2 linked regions of the Lepisosteus oculatus genome follow. Each later gene encodes a partner of the first gene's protein in a complex. Links are inferred from orthologs where the notes say so. Each region holds a gene or a part of one and is shown in the gene's direction. Other genes may lie near its edges.

Region 1 (7,744 bases):
GCCAGTGGTGATCTGCAGGGTGATGAGGCTGCTGGCAAGTTTAGTCAGACCACTAAGGCCAGGCTGTTAGGCACGGAACCTGTCGTTCTTCTGGAGTCTCTCTGCTCCTGGTGTGTTTCTTACCCCACTCTCGAATTGACTGAAGGAGTTGTATGGGCATTGACGAAGCAGTAACATTTAGCGAGCAGCCATGGCGAGCCCCCTCTGACTCTCTCACAGGGGGAAGACGCGGCAGCCTCAGTCTGTCCTCCACCTGCAGTTGGGGGTGCAGCACCGACACTGGGTCCTGGGTGGCAGACAGGGAGAGGCAGGGAGTGAGCTGGCCGGACCTGGCGAGAGGGGCATCTCTGGACATGGGAGGCCTGGACACCCAGCGGAACCTGCAGAGAGGAGAAGAGGAGGAGAGAGGCAGGCCTGGAGGAGGAGGAGGAGGAGGAGGAAGAGGACAGTCTCCTGCTAACAGCATGCTGACGTTCCACGAGGAAAACAGGGTGTGAGAGACAGGAGGCGGAGGGGGTTGGGGGTTAAAGAAGGAAACAGAAGAAAAGGAGAGAGGGAGGGAGAGGAAGGTAGGGAAGGAGAGGAAGAGGCACTGGGATTGAGAGAAAGAGGAGGAAAGAACAGGGCAGCGAGGTAAGGGGAGCTCCTGAGATGTCATTTGTATGATGCACCATACCGGTACAAACATCCTGGATTTGAAAGCTCATGTCGAATCAGAGGGAATCGAAAGATTTTCTCACGTTTAAACAGCTTTGTTGGCATGGCTGGTATATTACAGGTGTTGCCAAAGCATATACAGTCAATAACACCTCTACAGATATTTTAAATGCAAACACATCATAGGAAATTAACATACAACATATAGAATATTATTGAAAGTTGTGTTCACTGTTTCTCAAGAGACAGGCTCACTCTCTGTTCCTCAGGCTGGGACAGGAGATCACACACTGTATTATTATTATTATTATTATTATTATTATTATTATTGAGACTGGCTCACTGTCTGTTCCTCAGGCTGGGACAGGAGATCACACACTGTATTATTAATATTGAGAGACAGGCTCGCTGTCTGTTCCTCAGGCTGGGACAGGAGATCACACACTGTATTATTATTATTATTGAGACAGGCTCACTGTCTGTTCCTCAGGCTGGGACAGGAGATCACACACTGTATTGTTATTATTATTGAACTTGAACTTGAACTTTATTGCCATATGTAACCGGTACTGGTACAATGGAATTCTTACTTACAGAAAGTCTCTCGATTGTAAAACAAGTGTAAAAAACCAAACAAAGTGCAAACTGTGCATCAAGACAATATACAAACAAACAGTAGACAATGTACAAGTAAACATGTAGACAGTTTGAATGTAAACAATACAGACGTGTAAACAATGACTGGAGATGTGCAATAAATAAGAAATCATTAAGAGGTAGATGGTGATGGTGTAGGTGTGGTCCGAGGGGGATGGCTAAATGTGTTTGCCAATCTCACTGCTTGTGGATAGAAGCTATTGAAGAATCTAGTGGTAAGTGTCCGTATGCTCTTATATCTCTTGCCTGAGGGCAGTGGGGTGAAGAGCTCATGCCCGGGGTGGTGACTGTCCTCTGTGATGGCCAGAATTCTACCACGGCAGCAGTCCTCAAAGAGCTGTTTAATCTCGGTGAGACCGCAGCCGATGATCTTCTGGGCCATATTGACCATTCTCTGCAGTGCCTTTCTTTCTCGTGAAGAGGTGTTGCCATACCACACGGTGATCCCGTTGGTGAGGACGCTCTCGATGGTGCAGCGGTAGAAGTTCACCAACACATGTATTGGCATCCCCCATCGCTTGAGGCACCTCAAGAAATAAAGGCGCTGCTGAGCCTTCTTCATGATAGAGTCAGTGTTCACAGTCCAGGTTAGATCTTTAGAGATGTGAATTCCCAAAAACCTAAAGCTGGTGAATGTTTCCACTTCCGTTCCATCAATACTGAGTGGGCTGTGAGTGTGTGGCCTGTGTCTCCGAAAGTCCACTATTAGCTCCTTCGTTTTCTTTATGTTCAAGTCCAGGTTATTGCTATGACACCACCTAAGCAGCTGTACGACTTCATCCCTGTAAGTGGACTCGTCATCATCACTGATCAGTCCTATTATAGTGGTGTCATCGGCAAACTTAATGATGCGGTTGTTGCTGTGTCTTGCTGTGCAGTCGTGAGTGAACAGGGAGTACAACCTTGGACTCAGACAGCAGCCTTGTGGGGTTCCAGTGCTCAGGGTGAGTGGTGTTGATGTTTTATTGCCTATCCGCACCACCTGTGGTCTCTCGATAAGAAAGTCCAGCAGCCAGTTGCAGACAGAGTTGCACAGACCTAATCCCCTGAGCTTTGTCACCAGTTGACTGGGTATGATGGAATTGAATGCTGAACTGTAGTCCACAAACAGCATTCTCACATACGAGTTCTTAGTGTCCAGGTGTTCCAAGGCTGTATGAAGAGCCAGGGAGACAACATCATCCACTGATCTGTTGTTCTGGTAGGCGAACTGCAAGGGGTCCAGGGATTCTGTGATGGAGGAGTTGATGTGTGACAACACCAGCTTCTCCAGGCATTTCATCACCACAGATGTTAATGCTACTGGGTGGTAATCATATTGAGAGACAGGCTCACTGTCTGTTCCTCAGGCTGGGACAGGAGATCACACTCTGTAATGCAACTCTGTTGAGTCCCCCCCTCCCAGTATGACTGGAAACCGTTCTGATTCTGGCAGGTGTGGGAATTCTGGGATAAGATTAATCATTTTAGGGAAGCATGTCTGTCTGATCCCAGAGTATTTCTCACAGTGCAGCAGAAAAGTGCATCTCTGCCTCTGCTTGTCGGCACTGGTAGTGGGAGCACAGTCTGCATTTTTCTTCCCCTCTCTCAGCATTTGCACTTGTCTACAGTATCCTTCTGCCTGCATCTCAGTCTCCGTTTTCTTCCATGCTGGCTATGCTAGCTGACTGATGGACAAGAATATTCACAATGAACAGAAAGATCCTAAACTGTCATTTGTCTTTCAACTGGGTATGATGTAATTCATCCATCCTTTAATTCAACCAGTCCAGAGACTGGGGGGGACCCAGAGCCTAACGGGTGCCAGGCGGGGTACACCCTGCTTGATGAGGACGCCAGTCCACAGACACAGACTCACACTGGGGTCAATTTTTACCAGAAGCCAATTAACCGACCACTATGTCTTTGGCCTCTGGGAGGAAACCCGAGCTCCCTGTGGAAACCTACAGGAAAATGGGGAGAACATGCAAACTCTACACAGACAGCACCCCAATTCTGGATTCGAACCCAGGGCTGCAAGTTAGCAACGCTGACCACTGTACCATCACTTTGCTTCACGTACACAACGCCTCCACTCGGCCAGGACTAAAGACCAAATAGATTCAGTTCTTTTCCCTAGTCGGTACAGAACATTTCTTTGACTGTATGAATGTTTCTAGTGACTTTTTTTTGGCTAGACTTTAAAAAAAAAATGTCTTAGGACCCCTCTTCTTATAGTGACAACAAACGCTTGGGATTCCAAAAAAAATTAATCTATAAACCAGAAGAGCCCAAAGACGAGTACTGTTCTCCCAGTACTGTCCTTAAAAGTTAATCTGTCTGTGCCCTGCTCTTCCCCAACCCAACTCGGACTCTCGGATACCCAGAGATTCTGAACAGAGAGGCTTTTAAAAACGGCACGGGCGTGAGATTCATCCCTGTCCTTCGGGGCGGCTCTCCGGAACTCTCCTGCAGTGAAGAGAGCCGCACGCCGGCTGGACACGAAGAGGTCATTTTCATTGACCCTGGCCAGCCCCTCATCTCGCACTAACCTAAAATGACTTCGGGATTGTTGCAGCCGCGCACAAGTGATTACAAAAAACAAACTACGCATTCATCAGTCGGCACAGTAAAACCTGGGCACTTGGTGTCCCAAACACGCACCCCTCAGAAAACCACGCACACGCACTGTACAATAATAAGACCGAGCGCCGCAGGCTGCATTCCAGTTGTGTTGACTCACTGACGTCAATGGCATGCTACCGTACTGATCAGATAACACGAGCGATGAAAAATAGGGCTGTTTCTTTGTCCCGGGACATCGTGGCAGCAATATAGGCAAAATGTTCCAAACGCAAAAACCCACAAGGATGCATCCGTTTTCAATAACGGATCAGTCCAGGGTTTCCCAATCTTGGTCTACGGGTTAGCTGAGCTCCTGACTGAAACGAAGCCTTCACTGAACCAGCAAACACGTCGCCTGGTTACAACCTTCGCAAGTTTTTTTTTATCCAGCTCGGAGGGCGGATATTTTAAGTTACTCATGAAATACAATAGTTAAAAGTCAACCTCCTACACGTTTCGGAACTGAGAACACCTACAGAGTTTAAATTGACCTTATTAGTAGGTGCATTCAGGGTGAAATTATTTGAATGACTGCTCATTTGGACCCTTTCTACAATGGTAGGGACGTGCAGACTCCACACAGAAGGACCTCCGGGTCTGGCATCAGAACTGGGGCTCGGGAGCTGTGTCGCGGAGGCGCTATTTAAAACAGCTCGACTTTTTCCAAGCAGCGCGGGGGGGGAGATGCTTGAAAGAGGTTGCTTATACTCGCAGACATACGATGGTGAAAAAGCCGCATTCAGCCATTTTTTTCAAAACAGACAGCAGTCTAGCGAATAACGTTTAGCTGGGCTTCGCATAGTTAGCAGCCAGCTTTAGCGCACTAGTCGTGTGGCTTGGTTACAAAATACGCTTTTATTCCAGCTGTTAGCGGACTTTGCTTGCAGTTTATTGTGTCTGATTTCATCTCGGCGTCTGCCTGCTCTTCTGAATATTCGGATTTAAAAGCATACATACTAAAAATAATTATAATTTTCATGCCCGATTTGGAGCGCTTCAAGCTGACCCATACAATGAATCCTTTATTAAGTGCCAACGTCTTTCTGCTACAGCAACAGCAACAACAGCTTCAGCAACAGCAGCAGGCGGCCCAGCAGGACTCCTCGGGTCTGCTGCCGGACCCGGCTCATGGCGCAGGCGAGCCGGGCTTTCTCTTAAGCGAGCACCAGGGCTTTGCGGCCGACTCCCTCCCGGGGCTCGATTTGAGCTCCCTGCCGCCCGGGCTCGCTTACTTCCACCTCAACAACCCCCTCTACCGGCCCCCGCCTCCTCCCCCGGCCATGGCCCTGCGGAACGACCTGGGCTCCAACATCAGCGTCCTGAAAACGCTCAACCTGCGTTTCCGCTGCTTTCTGGCTAAAGTGCACGAACTGGAGCGGCGGAATAAGATTTTGGAGAAGCAGCTGCAGCAGGCGCTGGAAGCCGGCGGCGGGGGAGGGGGCCTGGGAAACGGAGACGGGAGAAGACCGGAGACCAGGGAGCAAGGCGTCCAGACCGGCTTTGTCGGGCCCATCTCGTTCCGACCCGGCTTGCTCAACTTCCCCAACTCCAACAGCTCGGTCTACCGGGGCCCGAGCGTCTTTACCCCAAGTCTGACCACGGTGCTGACCCTGGAGCCCACGAACCTGAACCCGGACTCGAACTCGAACCCCGATCCGAACTCCAGGTCGACCTCTGCGGCCGACGGGGCCAACGCCAACACCACTACCACCACCACCACCAGCACCAGCACCGGCACCAGTACAGGGACTAGCTGCGGCGTCAACTCCACCACCAACCCGCCGCCCCGGTTCTTGCCCGGGACAATCTGGTCCTACAACCACACTCGCAAAGTTGGCCCGGGTCTGGAAACCCGGGTCACCGGCCCAGGCGTGTCCTGGGTCCACCCGGACGGAGTCGGGGTTCAAATCGATACTATAACACCCGAGATCCGTGCCCTGTACAACGTGCTGGCTAAAGTGAAGCGAGAGAGGGACGAGTACAAGCGAAGGTTGTTATTATTATTATTTTATTGTTGTTATTATTATTGTTATTGTTTTATTGTTACTGTTTAATTCTCCTCTAGGGGCGCCTTACGGCTCTAGCGACATAGTTGTTGTACTATCGTGGCCGTGCTATAACGTTCTCGGGTCGATTTTTGCTTAATAATTGACCGGGATCTAATGCGGGTGTGTGATGGTGTCTCTTTCTAGATGACTTCATCTCTACAGGGTAGCTGTGCATAGGACATCTGCCCATGGGTCCATATGGGGTCTCTCAACTTTTTGTGTAGTAACACACACAGTACATATGTCTTTCAGTAGATCCACAGTGTCCCTTGGCTTAATCAGGGTCACATATCAGCCTCCCGCTGCGCAGCGGTCTGCTCCGCTCCAGGTTTTACCAGCTGCAGGGGCTCTTGTAGGGATGCCAACAGCAGGCATTTCAACACAGGCCTGCCTGCTGCTTTGAGTGTGAGTCAGCTGCCACTGTTAAGCAGGCGAGGTGTGTGCCTCTGGGGTTTTTGGGAAGATGTGTTCTCGTTCTTGGGGAAAGATCTGCTCTTAAACGTGAGGGCGCTAGGGGCCCGGGGAGAGTTTCTGGTCCCGTTCCTGTCACTTCTTGCAGTCGTTACAGAGGAGCTTGGTCATTCCACTAGAAATCCGGGGTGCAAATGTACCTCTGTTGCTTCTAGAGGGAGAGAGTCCGGGCTGCTGCTTTACTGTCACAGGCTGGGCGTGAAACCGGCCAGCTGTTTCTGAGCAATTCCAAATGGGAAGATTGGGGATCCGGCAGACCGACAGGACGACCCCCAACTCTGTGCCCCAAGACTGCCAACAGCCATGTCACCCTGCAGCTCCCAGCTGGCAGCCCCACTGGAGCTCAGCAGTGTGAGTCTGGCCAGTACCTGGATGGGAGACTCCTGGGAGAGCTAAGGCTGCTGCTGGAAGAGGTGTTAGTGGGGCCAGTAGGGGGCGCTCAGCCTGAGGTCTGTGTGGGTCCTAATGCCCCAGTATAGTGACTATACTGTAAAAAGGCACCGTCCTCTGAATGAGACGTAAAACCGGGGTCCTGACTCTCTGTGGTCATTAAAAATCCCAGGGTTTTTCTCGAAAGAGGAGAGGGGGTGTTGGTGGAGGGGAGTCCCATCACCCGTAGAGCACTTTGAGTGGAGTGTCCAGAAAAGAGCTATATAAGTGGAAGGAAATTATTATCTTCTGATTTCTGGCTGAGCTCAGCTCCACCTCGTCTAGGTCGCCCGTAATTTAAGCACACTCAGTGTAAAGACTGGAGTGGGCTTCGAAGCGGTGTAGAGTTTCGGTGCTCATGGAGTTCATCGCTGAGTGACCCCCACGGGCTCCGAGGGTGCCGACGACCGGTCAAGTCCCAGCCGCTGCCTCCGGCTGACCTCTGGCTGCGACCTCGATGGCTGACCGGGATCCGTCACCTCAGCAGAGCAGCAGGCGCCAGCCCGTCCAGCACTTGCCAAATTAAAGTCGCCAATTGGGAAATCACAATTCAGACGTCGCTGGTCCAAAAGTCTCAGGTAGCCAGTGCGGGGAGCTGAGTGCTGAAGTTAAGGTGCAAGAGAGGGGGTGTGTGAACTGGCCATCTGTGCTGCGATCTGGACAAGTTCATCAGCGCACACGTTGATCGCATTGCTCTTTCTTGCCGCGCCAGTAGCAGCACCATGAAGAGCATTAAGAAAGTTGCATCAGAGGTGGGCAGCCTCCTCATCCAGTTCATTGACAAGAGGATCTCACCCAGCCCTTTTCTGGAAATATAGCAGGGTTGTTATAGCATTGGTTCTAAGGATATAGCTGGGCTGTTTGTTCCAGGAGTGGGG
Region 2 (7,407 bases), on another chromosome or scaffold:
CTTTCCAAGCAGCAATGATGAGGTAGACCTTATTGTACTAGACCATGCAGTACAGTGAAGAATCATTTAGTTGAAACATGGGAACTTCTATGAAAATATATGGATTATTTTAGGTCTTGTGTAGAACAGGACAAGCTTTCAAGTCCTATAATTAAGGGCTTCTCACACTCCTCTACGTGCATCTTATCTGCTTGTTCTTGTTTTACTTGACTTGTTCAACTTTCTAATTTTAAAAGGTGACTGCACGTTTACAGAGATGTCTGTGTGGGGCACAGCCAAGCCTGCCTTTCTGCTGTCAGTTCCCATTCAGTGTTGCAGTGAATGGTGACAGTCAGTTCATTCCCAGTGCAAGGCAGCAACCTGCCAGTGAGCCTTGACTGATGGGCATGGGGAGATAACAGGCGAGTTGTTCCCTGTGGGCCTACAGAGGATCCCCTCCTGTGCTCTTCCCTCCCTCTCCAGGCATTTGCCATCCAACTTAGACTGCAGGTGGGGGCCGTGGAGTCTGAGGACAATACTTGTAAATCACATTTATTGAGAAGCTGCAACAGTCAGGAATTGAGTTGTTTATCTTTAGCACTTTGTCTGGTTGGTGTTAAGCCATTATAGTGTTTATGAGGCAGCCAACAGCAGGAGCAGTAACCTGGCAGTTTTAGTTGGAAGGCATACAACTGATTTTGGCTGGCATAGCTACGCTCGGTTGCCATCTGGGAGCTGCCAGCTGTGGTCAGAAGTCGCAATTCTGCACTTGCGGCCTTCTTTATGGCACATTTTTACACGTGAGTGCAATATTAATGCCACTCTCCTCTGACAAATTTTGTGTCTGAAGCTGGTGTGCGTCTCTTGTGTGTTCAATCCGTTCTTCGTCAAAATCATCTGTGGCCTGTGACGCATTCAGACTCCACCTATGGTATCCGGCTTTTGAAGCTACAAAGTGATGCATACACAATGGTTTAAACTTAAATTCTTAAGAGGAAGAAATGAAATATGTTGATTGTGTTTGGCACTGCTTGTATCTGCACGTCTTCTTGCAGAGTATAGAGTATAACCTTGGTGCAGAGTATCAGCTTGGTGCAGAACCTGCCCATTCATCCTGGCAGATTTGCTTAACCTCTCTCAAGTTCCTTGGGGATAACTTATGGACAGCAGTTTCTTTCCACATGTCCTTAATAGGACTCAGGTCAGGACTTTGACTTGGTTACTCAAGGGTATTAACTTTCTTATTCATAAGCCACTTCAGTGTAGTTTTGGCCTTGTACTTTAGATAGCTGTCCTGCAGAAAGGTGAATTTTTGTCCCAGTTTTAGATCTGAAGCTGGTTTTCCACTAAGTATTTTGCTCTATTTATGTTCTCTTCAGTCTTGACAAGCACCCCAGTACCTGCTGATGAGAAACAGAACTGTCACATAAAGTCGCCCCCATCATTCTTGACAGTCGGGATGGTATTATCTGAGTGAAGCTCTGTGTTGGGTATGTGTTAGATGCGACTTCATTTAGACCAAAAATGATAAGAATGCTTCTTTTGTGGAATGATTGGGATGTTGATGACCAATGAACATTATCTCCTCTCATGGTCATGGAATTCTCTGTCAAAGTGTCAGGTGGCCTCATGGTGGCATCCTTAACCATCTTCCTCCCTGCCTGGCTGCTCAGTATAGAGGGGCAGCCTGACCTAGACAGTGTCTGGGTGCCTTCCACCTCTTAATGATTGCCTTCACCATGCTCAAAGAGATATTAATTTTTAGTCTTTGAAAGATTTGTATCCCCTTTTTTGCTCTGTACCTTTCTACATCTTTATCCCTCAGTTGTTTTGAATGTGTATTTGCCTTCATGGTTCAAATATAAACTTGAAATATACTACCTGACTGGGGGACCTCACAGAGATGGATGTATTTACCCTGAAATAGTTGTGAACCACTATTATTCCACACAGAGACCACTTAACTAACTGTGTGGGTTGTTAATTTGATTTTTCACTATCATGACATTTCCATTTTTAATTAAAGAAACAAAATATAAAGACTATGCAAGGGTGTGAATAATTTTGCCAGATCCTGTCCATACTGTATATACTGTACTACAAGGAAAATGTTTTTCCTAGGGACCACCTGAACAATCTGTATGAATTTGAATGTCTCAATACAGGTTAGGTAAAAAGGGTATTCAGCTTCCTCTCCACATTAATGGAACTATTCAGCCAAATTCTTTCATTATCTCTGAAGTTTCTCTCCTTCCTATCACAGTGCAGCTCCTGAGTGACTGCTGATTTAATTTGGGTGCTTGTCTGTCGTTACTGTCGTTAGGCCATTGTCTTGTGTGCAGATGTTACTGTGTCTCAGCCATCCTCTTTTGAGGTTAACGTTTAATCTGTTCTAAAATATAAATAGTCTTTTTAATCTTTAGCCCATCTTAAACAGCATGACTGTTTTTTCGTAATTTTTACTTGTAATTTTAAATCGCCTTCATTTTTTTTTCTGATGTCTTTGGTCAAGTTGACTTTGTGTTACACATTCTTAAGCGACAGTGCTTTGTATTGGCATTTGGAGGTGCGTATTTGCATGTTGTTTTTGTTTCTGATTGCATATTTTAGTCATAATTGCATATATCAGTTCAGTTAAATAAGCATTGGTTTTACATTTTGCTGTATACTTCACTGAATCATGAACTTTTTCAAAAGCCAACATCACTTTACGGACGCCCCACAGTCAGCAGCTACTAGTGGTTTCTAGGTAAGGATATTTCCAATGGAGCGTTCCATGAGTATGGATCCTGCTATACTGCATGTGTTTCTTGCAAATCTCGCGTTTCTATGTATCTTGCCATTGACAATGATAATTGATTTTCCCCAAGTAGTTTAGAAAGCAATAAGTAAAAAGCAAAAAAAGCAGTAAGTAAAAAGCAACAACTGCCCAGAGGCTGAGGTTGTTAGGGAGATCGAAGTGCAATCACAGAATTTGACATTCGGGATTTTTTCAACACGTCCAGTGGTCATTTCTTGTGTATCCTAATGTGGCTGGCCAGGAAGACAACATGATCGGCAGCACAGTGGGTGTGAGTGGGAGATGGGCGATGGGGAAAGGAGTGTAGTCGTGGGTCTTGTAGGTGCAGGTAGAGACTGTGTGGGAGCACCTGGGTTCTTATTCATCTTGAGAGCGAAGGTGAATTCCTGCTGTACATGAAACATTAAGACGTTACTGTAAAGCAGACTTTTATATTTCAACGCTGAACCCATTTTTCACATTTAATGGGAACAAAAGCCAACTTTTCAGTGATTTCACAAGAACCCATTTGCTTCATTCTGAAGTCATTTCATGGGGGTCACTGACAGTCCTTGAAACTTGGAATGAGACTTGAGTCCCTGAAATCTCCAAGTTACTACTACACAGTGTTGTTGTTGGATTCTCACACCTCCCTTTCCCAGTAACATAATACATTTAATGGGTAAATTAGTTCATCTCAGTCCAGTAGGAATGGTTTTAATAGGGAACTGCATCAGTGTCCAAGCTGCAAAGGAACACGTAAAGGCTGCATCCAACTCTGGTCTCAAATTATCGAGACCTTGTATTTAAAAGCCTTCACACCTGAAGAAGGCTCCACAGCTGAAATGCTGCTTTTTCTACCTTCAGGTTGGAATTGCTTATAAAAGGTAAGGAAGAAATGCACAGCCTTGATGTATATTGCATACTGGAGCATATTCTATTACACATAATATACTATTACATATACTAATATGTCATTCAATACCGTAACTTTTATCCTGGTGGTAGATTTGTCACTGCCAAACCTGATGTGGCTCTTCATGGTTTCAGATATGTTTGAGATACGATGTAAGGAGTGTTGCATTATTGGCATCATACTGTGTGGTGGTATTTTGTTACGCAGCCTGTGTTTTCCGTGGAAGTACCCATAAAGTACAAAATAAATAATAATAAAAAGAATACCCATGGAGGAAACAGGCCAGTGATTCTCAGCTCTGGTCCTGAAGGACCGCTGTGTCCTTTGGCTTTTGACCCAGCGAAATATTTCTTCGTCGCAGTCAAAAGGCTCTCACTGTCCCGTTTGAAGTGTGTCTGGCAAATTTTCATTCAGCCCTTATAAAAAGTCACATGGCATTTGAAAGTGGTATCAACCCTGAGCCGTTTTCAGTTTCAGGATGCCTCTCGTTCCGCTGTGTGAGCTGAAACATAACCAGCAGGACTTAAGTGGAAGGAAGAAGCAAACGGTCGTGATGGGCCCGTTTACACAGTGACATTCCGCGTCCGTTCAGCATCCGATGATTGACTTTGAAGAGGTTTCGGATCAGAAAGAAGGGAGCAAATTCTTAATGACTGATTTGTTGTTTGTTTTAATCCAGGCAGAGTGCAGAAAAAAAGTCAAGACAAGCAAGCAGATCAATGACAAGATTACAGTAAGAATGATAAAAAACAGTAGATACAGGGGTCCCCAAACGTATGCACAAAAGGTTTACAAATTATGGTCGTCACATCTATGGTGGTACATAAAAAAAAAATTGGTAAATATTCTCTTACCTAAAGAGGGTTCCACAGGTATAATTGTTTTTTTTTGTCATTTCAGCACGGAGCTAATCTTTCTCTTTATTGGAATGTTTGTTGAGTAAGTAATATATAAACGTTGACACATTACCCCTCTATGCAGTTTATTGTACTCAAAGGTTAAGTTTCCATAACCACTGAGAGTACAAGCCTCTATAGTTCTTACTGCCAAGAAAATTACCAAAAGATATTGATACTTACAGTGTATAAAATATTGTCTTGCTGCCATTTTTTAGTTTAATGCTCACAATTAATGTTCGTGTCCATGGTTGAGTAAGTTGCCTCTTTAACAATAAATTGTATTGTTGAAGCTCTTTTCTGATTCGTAATTCCACTTTAGATGTTATAATCAGCCCCCGAGAAAAGCCTTTTGTAGCTCTGGAAGCTTACACTGTTGTCCCAGGTTTCAAGCAGACCACCATAAATATACTTACAGTATTTGAGTTTATTCGACATTTTAGAAAGCACTTTTCATGTAGGAGGTGACCCAGTCCATTCAGCAAAGAAGAGGTCCTTTGGCCCATTTAGCCCCTCTGCGAGCAGTGAAGGTGGTATCCTGGCGATGTGTGGTAGCCATAGGATAGCAGATCACCCACTGCACAGCGGGTGAGCTAAAGAAATGAGAAACAGCCTTGTATCATTGAATTGAGAATGCACTTTAGATGGGAAGAAAAGATTGTAATCAGATATCAATATCACCACTGTCAACACAAGGTCATCCATTTTAATCCAATTGTATGGTTCTGTTTCAATGAGTGGGCACACATTTGTCCTCTCTGCTGTATAAGCAGTTTATATCTGAGAACTGGAATATTTGTGCACTAGTCCAACTAATTCATATTGGATACCTACTGTATACAGTACCTGTGCATGGTACATGTCTGGTCCATACAAGATCCTGTCTGTTGCTTCTACAGCTACTGTAATTTTATGAATCAGTGCATGTATTTGATATTTTCTATTGGTGTTATCTAACTTGAAACCATTCAGGGTTGTTATGAAGTGAGGGGTTGTTTTCATTAAGCTGCAGTGTTGTTTGGAGTAAAAGTGAGCCTTGGAGGCATGTGGTTTTTAACATACCCCTGGGCCTTGTGAAAGGCTTCAATTGCAAACCAAACATGAAAACCTAGAAGAAAATTGTTCCATTCATTTTCCTCTGAGTGTTTCTTAACAACTGTTGTTGTGAGTGATGGAGAAAACAGAACATTATGGTCTGTGCAACTTATCAACGCAAGGTAAAAAGATGCATTAATTAATGAAGTGTTTCTTGCTTTTCTGATTACAGTGCCTTGCACAATTATTCACCCACCGCAAAGCTTCTACATTTTGTTTCTGTCTGAGCTTGCAATAACAGTACAACAAATCTACAGAGTCTACTTCAAACTGGTAAAGGTAAAAATGCTGATGGCGAGCAAATAAATGAGATCTTTATAGAAAATGAGAAGATTCTCAGTTGCATAAGTATTCAACCCTCTTTATTACGGAAGACCTAAATCAGTTGAGGTGCAAAATAACAGTCTGAAAGATCACAGCATTCATGCAACGTTCCCTGTCTGTGTGTAATCAAAGTGGTGTGAATTGACCAGTTCAGAGTAACTGCATCTGTCTCTGTAAGTTCAGTCAGATACTGCATTTCAAGCCATTTCAAGCTCATATTGTGACACACCAAATTGACCATGAAAACCAAGGAGTTGTTGAAACAAATTATGCATAAACTGATAAAGGCATAGAGTAGAAGAAAGCTAGTTTAATTCAGTGAAGTTCATTATTGACAACTGGACTGGAATTTGCAGCATATTACCAAGACACAAACTCAGCAGCTGAGCAAGCAGGTAAGTGGTTAGTAAAGTAACTGTGAAGCCAACAGTGATTTTGAAATATTTGCAGTTTCTTTTGTCTAGAATGGGAGTTGTTGTTCATACACTATCACTGTTCCCAGCATGAGGTAGTCTCTATGGGTGAAAGCAATGACAGAAGACATTCCTGCAAACAATTCATCTCAAATCTTCTAGAAAATACAATGCAGACATGGAGGGTAACAGAAGGGTTTATGATCAAATTAGACAAAAACTGATGTTTTTGTAGTCTAAATGCAAAGAGTTACATCTGATGCAGGCCCAATACAACACATTACCCAGTCAACTCCACCCCAGCTCTCAAGTATGCTGGTAACAGCATCAAGTTACGGGGCTGCTTCTCTTCAGTGGAGACGCATGTCAAGACTAAGGGGAAAATAGATGGAGCAAAGTCTTGAGAAATACAGTACTTGTTTTAGTTGCCCAAGAATCTAAAATCGGTTCTAAAATCACATTTCAGTACAGGGCCAAAGCACAATGAAGTGGTCCGACAACAATGGAATGAATGTTTAAGTTAGTTAAGATCACTTTATTGGCCATATAGAATTTCTTACATTAGGAATTCGTCTTTTTGCATACCCCAGCTTGCTCTCCATGAGACACACAGACGAGGAGAGAAGCTTGGGGTCAGAGCGCAGGGTCAGCCATTTATACGGCGCCCCTGGAGCAGTTGGGGTTAAGGGCCTTGCTCAGGGGCCCAACGGAGTAGGATTCCTCTGCCGGCCACGGGATACGAACCGGCAACCTTCCAGCCACAGGCGCAGATCCTTAGCCACAGTGCCACTGCTCCGCAAACTTCAATGTTCTGATACGAATCCAATAGAAAGTTTGTGACAAGGTTTGCTTGACGATTGTTGACTGTGAATTCTCCCCAGTCGACTTGTTAGGAGTGAAATACGTTTGTCAGGAGGAATGAACAAACATACCCCATCCCACTGTGCAAAGCTTTTGTGCTGACTTTCAACCTCCCGCACATATGACATTGATCATTACAGTTCT

The links.
Region 2: the proteins of iffo1b (region 1) and xrcc4 are in contact, whole or in part, in a crystal structure (PDB 6ABO), measured with the Homo sapiens proteins. The link is inferred for Lepisosteus oculatus from reciprocal best matches to the Homo sapiens genes IFFO1 and XRCC4. Residues at the interface, in NP_001317253.1 of Homo sapiens: Arg469, Glu470, Tyr473, Ile477, Gln479, Ile480, Glu481, Glu483, Leu484, Ala487, Lys488, Asp490, Met491, Arg493, His494, Leu495, Tyr498, Met501, Lys505, Leu508, Asp509, Met512, Cys515, Arg516, Leu518, Ile519, Thr520, Gln521; in NP_001304941.1 of Homo sapiens: Trp155, Val158, Gln159, Phe162, Glu163, Cys165, Val166, Lys169, Glu170, Glu173, Leu176, Tyr177, Phe180, Val183, Leu184, Lys187, Lys188, Lys190, Ile191, Leu194, His195, Lys197, Leu198, Ala201, Ala202, Arg205, Glu212.

Annotation. Positions count from the first base shown.
Region 1 is NC_090718.1:3,679,807-3,687,550, forward strand, and holds the start of iffo1b (non-homologous end joining factor IFFO1), read left to right. Parts: upstream 1-4,606; 5' UTR 4,607-4,895; coding exon 4,896-5,908; intron 5,909-7,744. Other genes in the region: opn9 (opsin 9), read left to right, coding at 220-497. UniProt on the Homo sapiens protein: Nuclear matrix protein involved in the immobilization of broken DNA ends and the suppression of chromosome translocation during DNA double-strand breaks (DSBs).
Region 2 is NC_090698.1:70,692,695-70,700,101, forward strand, and holds the start of xrcc4 (DNA repair protein XRCC4), read left to right. Parts: upstream 1-4,378; 5' UTR 4,379-4,393; coding exon 4,394-4,407; intron 4,408-4,574; coding exon 4,575-4,613; intron 4,614-7,407.